Saccharomyces cerevisiae S288C: one gene and its partner. The protein of the gene in region 1 binds, or shares a complex with, the protein of each later gene. Each region holds a gene or a part of one and is shown on either strand. Other genes may lie near its edges. The genes, in order: ORC3 and ORC2.

The links.
Region 2: ORC3 (region 1) and ORC2 share a complex: the UniProt entries of both Saccharomyces cerevisiae proteins name them as parts of the origin recognition complex.

The regions. Positions count from the first base shown.
Region 1 is NC_001144.5:139,417-143,619, reverse strand, and holds ORC3 (origin recognition complex subunit 3), read right to left. Parts: upstream 2,548-4,203; coding exon 697-2,547; downstream 1-696. Other genes in the region: SFI1 (Sfi1p), read right to left, coding at 1-419; SPO75 (Spo75p), read left to right, coding at 3,074-4,203. UniProt on the Saccharomyces cerevisiae protein: Component of the origin recognition complex (ORC) that binds origins of replication. It has a role in both chromosomal replication and mating type transcriptional silencing. Binds to the ARS consensus sequence (ACS) of origins of replication.
Region 2 is NC_001134.8:359,847-364,523, reverse strand, and holds ORC2 (origin recognition complex subunit 2), read left to right. Parts: upstream 1-2,009; coding exon 2,010-3,872; downstream 3,873-4,677. Other genes in the region: serine/threonine protein kinase AKL1, read left to right, coding at 4,337-4,677. UniProt on the Saccharomyces cerevisiae protein: Component of the origin recognition complex (ORC) that binds origins of replication. It has a role in both chromosomal replication and mating type transcriptional silencing. Binds to the ARS consensus sequence (ACS) of origins of replication.

The DNA of each region.
Region 1 (4,203 bases):
TAGTTTTTGAAAATTTGTAAAAAACTTCTGGATAGTTTGAAATGAACCAAAAAAGCTTCAATCTGGCGGTATAAATCTTCGATTACCTCAACGGATATATCATTCAAATCATATCGTAAACCATTCTTAGGAAGATCGGTAACGTCTTCATACTCCAGATTTGTCGAATCAACCGGTGGAGAAGGAAGATGGAACGGCGGGTCTTCGAAAAAGCCTTCAGTTTTATTTAATTCTATAGGCTTTAAAGCGTTAACAATATACCTTTCTGCGCCTCCATGAATTAGTGATTCGGTGGAATCCGTTATTTGCCCTTGCTTGATGAGTACATCAGTGGGAATATTAGTTGGAGATGTCTCGGGTACGAATTTATCACGCAGAAGATTCTCCGTTGATTTATTTGTCGTGCCGAATTTGCCCATAACCTAGCACATATAGGCAATAGATTGTGATTAATAGGCCACCTTTATTTTTTTGTTGCTGCCTTCTTGAGTTTCCCATTGCCAATCTTCGCGCATCATGGCACTATCTATTTATTTTACCTATACATAATATTACCCTCCATTCGATAATAATAATAATAATAGTTAACACAGAAAAATGATGAGATACAGGTAGACTGTTCATTACAAAAACGTGGTTCTATGGTTCTATATATGTATGGTTATTTATTTACTTATTTATCCGTGCATTCTTTATCTAAATTCCTCTCCAGACACATTTTTCTACCAGATCGTAACTCTTGGTGCTTTGAAACTTAATGAGACCCATGTTTTCAAAGGCGAAGATTGCTTGCATGAATAAAATTAGTGCTACTTTGTCAAATGCGTCCGGTGTTTCTGCTAGTTCTAAGAGTTTGGTGTTGGAGGGATCTTTTCTTATGAAATTTAATATTTCCTCTTTTGGTAATGTTTCTCTGAACGCAATGTAGAAATCGTAAATGTTGATAGTCATATTCGCCTCACGATAAAGCTTGAATAGCTGACCCAGTACCGGAGCCATTATTTTATCCAAATCTCCAGAAAGAGTATCATAATTTTCTTTATCAAGCGAAGGCAGCACCTGCTCCCAACTTAGTAAGTTATCTTCGATATTTGACTTGTAAGAAGGGAAAATCGACTGGGTAAGTAATCCACTTCTGTTGTCCAAAGTAAATAGCTCTTGAAAAATTGTATCAATGGGTTCAAAATGAAGCCGATCCTTATACTCTTTACATGCTGACCAACGATCTAGATAGGAGTCTAGTTTGCCAATAAGCAAATTATGATATAATTCTATCAGATTAAAATTGGTTATATTCAATTCTTCTTCGAGGAATCGAGCAACAAACTTAGCATGCCCGTTAATCGGGTTCTCTCTTACCAAAAACTCAACAAAAAACTCTTCTAGGCCTCTGTTTTTGTTTGTCAATAATGAAAGAATTTCGTCAGCAGGAGCATGCTGCTTTATAAGACCTTCGACAAAGAACATGAATGTAGGACATCTGCTCAGTATTTTTAAGTAGTCGTCGTTCAAAAAATCAACATTTACAGGGTCAATGAATACTGAAAAGGCATTCTGGAAAAAGTACGACATCAACGAATAATCCAGCATCTTCGTCAATAATTGTAAGTTGTGATTAGTATTATTTGCCATCTTGCTGAGAATGAATTCCACAAAACGATCTGAAAGATTTAGTTTGCCATCAACCGTATCCAAAAAGCTTTGAAAGATTTGGTTTCCGTACTTAAATCCTTTATTACTCGACACGTCTAGTTTATGATAATTTCTCTTCAGAAGTCGTATGGTTGATTGTCTCAAATTTTTCTCAATATTTGACAAGTTTGTATTAATATTAAAGATTAAACTTATTTTAACATGGTCATACTTGAAGGCACTTTTCAATAGAATTATGAAGTTATCCAATGTGTTGAAGTTAATAGAATCTACATCTTTAAAATTAAATACCATTGCTAAGTCTTTTCCAAAAAGCCTTTTGAAGTTTTCCACAAGTGACAGATCGTATGATACATCATTGTTTTGCTCGGTAAAATCGCCATCTTCATCGTTAATGTCTTCATACTTGATAGTTGGATGTTCTTCTGCATCAGCTGCGCTGTAAAGTTTGTACATAGACCTACGAAGCATCATTCTTACATTCGGAGATTCTTTCGGAGTCAATTCAATCAAAACGTTGTAGCGAGAAGATTCGTCTTTAAGTTCAATTTTTGTCGTACTATCTGAACCTAATAGGAAAATAGTGTTAAAGCATCGCCTTTTCTGAGTAGTTTCACTATATAAAAGGTCTGAAATCTCTGCTTTCAAGTCTGCTTCAATATTATCGATAATATGATCTACTTGATCATGAAAGTGGGAATGTAACTGATGATACAATTCCCATCTTTTTTCCACGTTCACTTCCGATTCTTTGCCTGATAGAAGTTTGACAAAGGGAATGTGTTTATCATTTTTGTTACTTTGAGGCAAACTGGGGTATACTGTATAGTGGCTCCTTTGGGCGTCAGCAAACTCGCTGACGTTCATCTTTTTGGATTGGTTAAGGTCGCTCATCCTGTTGGACTACTCTTGTGATACTACGACTCTGTATGTAAACAATGCCATCTTTTGTCACTTTTCTTTTTCTTCAAATTACGGTGCGGAAAAATACGTCAGTAAATATCAAAAAGACACTAAAAAAGGCGTTAGTGGTAATGGAAGGTAAAAAAAATTCTTACCATCTAACAGAATGCTTAGTTCCATTATCATCACGTGTAGCGTTTCTGCTGGTCTTACTAAATATAAAGATAATAAAACAGCAGGTAATGAAACATTACTCTTGTGAAATTGTCAAGCCTGTCTCGTAACGCAACCAACGACAACCCTTCATCTCCAGTATAGTTTCAAGTTTCTGGAAAAGATTGTCTTTTCCACCTTTTTTTATTTTTTTTTCCTATTAAAAAAAAAGCTATTCTACAAAAAATTCTTTATGACACAAATTATAGCGTGTTTAAAAATTAAACAAATGTGCAAAGTATATTCACAGTAGACAAACTTCAGGAACTCTTTTTCAAAAACAAGAAAAAGACTTACCAAGAAGATGAATGCTACTAAAGAACTGACTTTTAATTTACTGAATAAATTTCAAGACAAAGAAAGATTTGGATCTGCGCAAAGACATGCTGGAATCTCACTAAAAGGGTTCATATCTGGTATATTGTTTTCTTTTTTGTACTTTTTATTTCAGCTGTCACTCTTTATTATTTTAAGATCAAGATTCAAGACTATATATCAGGCCAATGTCGTTCTGAAAATCCATCCAGGTTCTAAAGTTTGTTTTGCTAAGAAAAAAATAAAAAATTATTGGTCATTATTTGCATTTCTCAAGCAACTTCCCGGAAGAATGTTAGATCCTATGGAAAAATTCGAACGAAACGAAAGGTATGGCCTAGACAATTATCTATTTTTACGGTTTCTCAAACTTTTGATATTCTTTTTTGCAGTGTTATCAATTATCAACATTCCAATACTAATTCCAATCCATTATTTTTCCAGGGATATTTTGAAAGAAAATGAAGGTGAACGTTATGAGCAAAGTTTCAGGACGACAAGTAAACTTGACAAGTGGACCATGTCAAATCTATCACCTAATTCATCGAATACTTTAATCTGTCACTTGTTTTTGAGTATCTTTGTTGTACTCTGGTTTCACTTCATTCTTTCTTCGGAACTGAGGTTCGTTAATCGACTAGGATATTCCGTTTTGACGAAAAGTAAATACCAAAACATTCTATATTTGGAAGGATTCTCAAGTAAATTGGTTACCCAAAGTATTTCTTTAGAAACTTTTTTTCAGCCGCTACACAGTGATTGCTTTGGCGTGACGCATTTCATTCCAAAAAATTTGAAGAAAGTCCACAAATTAGAAATAAAGTTAAATAAATTACAAAAATCAAAAGAACAAATTATCTTTGAGATTATTTTAGAGAAATATTTTAGAAGAGTTTCAATACACAGGCATTTGATAGCAAATCACAAAAGATTTTTCTTTTCAAAGTTGAAAAACCATCTATTATTTCAGTACAAAAAATTGGTATTTTTAACTCAATTTAGAATTTCATACTATTGCACAAAAATTCGTCTGCGCTGGAAAAAGTCAAGCATCTTTCCGTTATATTACCCTAAACTGTATGTAAATACAGAAACAATATTAGAAAGGAAATACAGAAT
Region 2 (4,677 bases), on another chromosome or scaffold:
TAGAACTTTCGAATTGTGACAGAACCATTGAGAACATGGTGAATCTGTCAATATTACAACCCAAAAGCCGGTTGGTGGTAAACCGTAGTACGGAGCATTACAAAGGATTCCATCGTATAAATTATGCATAAGCATCACCTTGATCCATTTGCCTTGCTCCTATTGCCCTGCTTGTTTGTAGGAAAGCCCCTTTTGGTCAAACGAATTGTTCAGTTCGGGTTTACGCATTACATATCTCCTTTTTAGATACAAAAACCTCGAAACGCTCACATAAACCCGGTTGTTCTTTTGAGTACCTGGCCAATGGAGACATAGCTTGGGGTTAAGTAAAAGTGAAAGTCAGGTTGATACATGTGCCTTTTATTCCACCGAAGAAAGCTTATCCAACATAAGAGCATTATTTAATGGGCTTTCCAATTTATTATTGGCATACACTTCTTTCAAAAATTCGCCGGTCTCAACGGCAGCAAGTGCTCAGCAGATGGAAATTATACGTTAATACTTTTTCCAATGTGATATAACGAAAAATTAGATACTGTGAATTGTGTTTGCCACCTTGATGTTGACTTAGTATTTCCTCTCGGTTGTAAAAGCCAAGAAGGTTTGACTGTTCGTCAATTAAGGTTCTTACGTGGGTTGTGCTAGATACGACGCGAATCAGTATGGTTTCTATCTGCCAATCATATCGGTTCTCTTCCATGGGCTAGAACAGATGAATTCTAGCTCTTTTTTAGCTGGACCAGTAAGGTTCAAATGGTATTTGATAATAGAGAATCACATATCTCCTTGTCCATTTCTGAAAGTATTAATTCAGTCATATCCAACTAGTCACAAACATCCGCATAGGCTTGATAAAACTCACAAGTGGCAGATTCCGAATTATGTGTCATATTGGGGTCATATTAGGACCTTCATTTCAGAATTGCTTCTGCTCCAATAAACTTTTTTTGATCCAAAAATCGTCTGATATAACGGGCGATGTCAATTGAATAATAAAACGGGTTCTATCTATTTTCTTGATCTTTGAAACCAAAACAGTTAGCAGGCAAGTGCAAACAAGTTGTCAATTGCACTCTGTTAACGAAAAAAATATATCTCATCTCCGCCGGTCTTCTTTGGTGGATATATATTACTCCTCCTTAAAGGTCATGCTCCTTTTTATGGGTTCTCGTCGTAATAATCCTGAAATTGTAAAATAATTTAGAGCTCAACACCACCATTGAGAACGTAGAATTTCAATTTTTAAGCTGATTCTCTTTCTGCATGAACTCTCCTAGCAATGTGAAACTTCTCTTAAGGGAAATTTTCGCCTTTTTGAATGGGCATACTTGGCCAAAAATTCAGGATTGAATATATATAATCGGAACTTGTATGGATAAAAATTTATATCAAGAGTCTGTTTCTTAATTGGATTTGCTGTGATCTAGTATTGAGATGACTATAAACCGGCCAGGAAATTAGTCTTTTCGAAGCTGGTTTTGGTTTCGCAAGAGTCTTTTTGACAGCTTTTTGGCCTCAATTTGTATTCCCTTAATACGCTTCTTCAACTCTGTCTTAGAGACCATTTCTCCAGTGGCCTCATCTAGGTGTAAACTAGCAATAGCGTCACTAGCTGCCGTGACATTAACTTGCTGTGGCACCTTTATATGTAATATGAACCATCTTTCAATGGATCATAAGAATAAGTGTCGTAAAAGGCCAAATATCCATGCATAAATATCGACTTATTCGCGTAAATGTGATATGGATCAGCTAGTACCAATTTCTAGTCTAGCAAAATCGGGAAAATTTTTCAGAACACCCACTCACCGCATCATTGAGGTGGAAATGACAATAGTAAGCAGAATTGTTATTCTTCACAATGTGTAAAAGTTATAAAGAAATAGGAACCACCTTTAAATTAAGACAAAGTAGAATATATTAGCTGAAATTGTATTTGATAATTGATCATTGATCTTATTTGCTATATCTTTAAAACAAGTTTTTGTAGTACTGCGAATTGCCATAACATGCTAAATGGGGAAGACTTTGTAGAGCATAATGATATCCTATCGTCTCCGGCAAAAAGCAGGAATGTAACCCCAAAAAGGGTTGACCCACATGGAGAAAGACAACTGAGAAGAATTCATTCATCAAAGAAGAATTTGTTGGAAAGAATCTCGCTTGTAGGCAACGAAAGGAAAAATACATCTCCAGATCCGGCACTCAAACCTAAAACGCCAAGTAAAGCTCCCCGTAAACGTGGAAGACCAAGAAAGATACAGGAAGAATTAACTGATAGGATCAAGAAGGATGAGAAAGATACAATTTCCTCTAAGAAAAAGAGGAAATTGGACAAAGATACATCAGGTAATGTCAATGAGGAAAGCAAGACTTCTAACAACAAGCAGGTGATGGAAAAGACGGGGATAAAAGAGAAAAGAGAACGCGAAAAAATACAGGTAGCGACCACAACATATGAAGATAATGTGACTCCACAAACTGATGATAATTTTGTATCAAATTCACCCGAGCCACCAGAACCTGCAACACCATCTAAGAAGTCTTTAACCACTAATCATGATTTTACTTCGCCCCTAAAGCAAATTATAATGAATAATTTAAAAGAATATAAAGACTCAACCTCCCCAGGTAAATTAACCTTGAGTAGAAATTTTACTCCAACCCCTGTACCGAAAAATAAAAAGCTCTACCAAACTTCGGAAACCAAGTCAGCAAGCTCGTTTTTGGATACTTTTGAAGGATATTTCGACCAAAGAAAAATTGTCAGAACTAATGCGAAGTCAAGGCACACCATGTCAATGGCACCTGACGTTACCAGAGAAGAGTTTTCCCTAGTATCAAACTTTTTCAACGAAAATTTTCAAAAACGTCCCAGGCAAAAGTTATTTGAAATTCAGAAAAAAATGTTTCCCCAGTATTGGTTTGAATTGACTCAAGGATTCTCCTTATTATTTTATGGTGTAGGTTCGAAACGTAATTTTTTGGAAGAGTTTGCCATTGACTACTTGTCTCCGAAAATCGCGTACTCGCAACTGGCTTATGAGAATGAATTACAACAAAACAAACCTGTAAATTCCATCCCATGCCTTATTTTAAATGGTTACAACCCTAGCTGTAACTATCGTGACGTCTTCAAAGAGATTACCGATCTTTTGGTCCCCGCTGAGTTGACAAGAAGCGAAACTAAGTACTGGGGCAATCATGTGATTTTGCAGATCCAAAAGATGATTGATTTCTACAAAAATCAACCTTTAGATATCAAATTAATACTTGTAGTGCATAATCTGGATGGTCCTAGCATAAGGAAAAACACTTTTCAGACGATGCTAAGCTTCCTCTCCGTCATCAGACAAATCGCCATAGTCGCCTCTACAGACCACATTTACGCTCCGCTCCTCTGGGACAACATGAAGGCCCAAAACTACAACTTTGTCTTTCATGATATTTCGAATTTTGAACCGTCGACAGTCGAGTCTACGTTCCAAGATGTGATGAAGATGGGTAAAAGCGATACCAGCAGTGGTGCTGAAGGTGCGAAATACGTCTTACAATCACTTACTGTGAACTCCAAGAAGATGTATAAGTTGCTTATTGAAACACAAATGCAGAATATGGGGAATCTATCCGCTAACACAGGTCCTAAGCGTGGTACTCAAAGAACTGGAGTAGAACTTAAACTTTTCAACCATCTCTGTGCCGCTGATTTTATTGCTTCTAATGAGATAGCTCTAAGGTCGATGCTTAGAGAATTCATAGAACATAAAATGGCCAACATAACTAAGAACAATTCTGGAATGGAAATTATTTGGGTACCCTACACGTATGCGGAACTTGAAAAACTTCTGAAAACCGTTTTAAATACTCTATAAATGTATACATATCACGAACAATTGTAATAGTACTAGGCTTGCTAGCTTTGCTTTCCCATAACCAACAATACTTAGTGATGTATCTTAAAACGACTAAAAAACTTCTCATATAACCCTACTGAAAAACGTCTGATGAGCTCTTCGAAAATTCAGACGAGTTATGACCTATATTTGTTTTTCATTTTTTTTAGGTGAACCCCGCCATTCTGAAAATGCCCTATTCAGAGCTCAATAACCGAAAAAACTTAAAAATACTGAATAAAAGCCATAATCCTATGAACCCCCTTTCTTGAATGAGTAAATTCAATAGCATTGTTGAATCAGAATCGGTGCCTCGGGAGCATAAGCAACACAGGACATCATAGAGATAATTTTAGTTGCCATTCATTTTTTGCTATTACGTTTTCCCAAGCTCTTGTTTTCGTCCCTGTCGCCTGTTATTTTCTTTCTAATTAGCACTGATCATGTCGATCACGAATGGTACTTCTAGAAGCGTTTCGGCAATGGGCCATCCGGCGGTAGAGAGGTACACTCCAGGCCATATTGTCTGCGTAGGCACACATAAAGTTGAAGTGGTAAATTATTTAGCAGAAGGTGGCTTTGCTCAAATTTACGTGGTGAAATTCCTAGAGTATCTTAATGAATTTGATAATACAGCAAGTGTTCCCTTAAAGATTGGCGATGTCGCATGTCTGAAAAGAGTATTAGTTCAAGATGAGAATGGATTGAACGAGATGAGAAATGAAGTGGAGGTAATGAAGAAATTGAAAGGGGCCCCAAATATAGTACAATACTTCGATTCCAA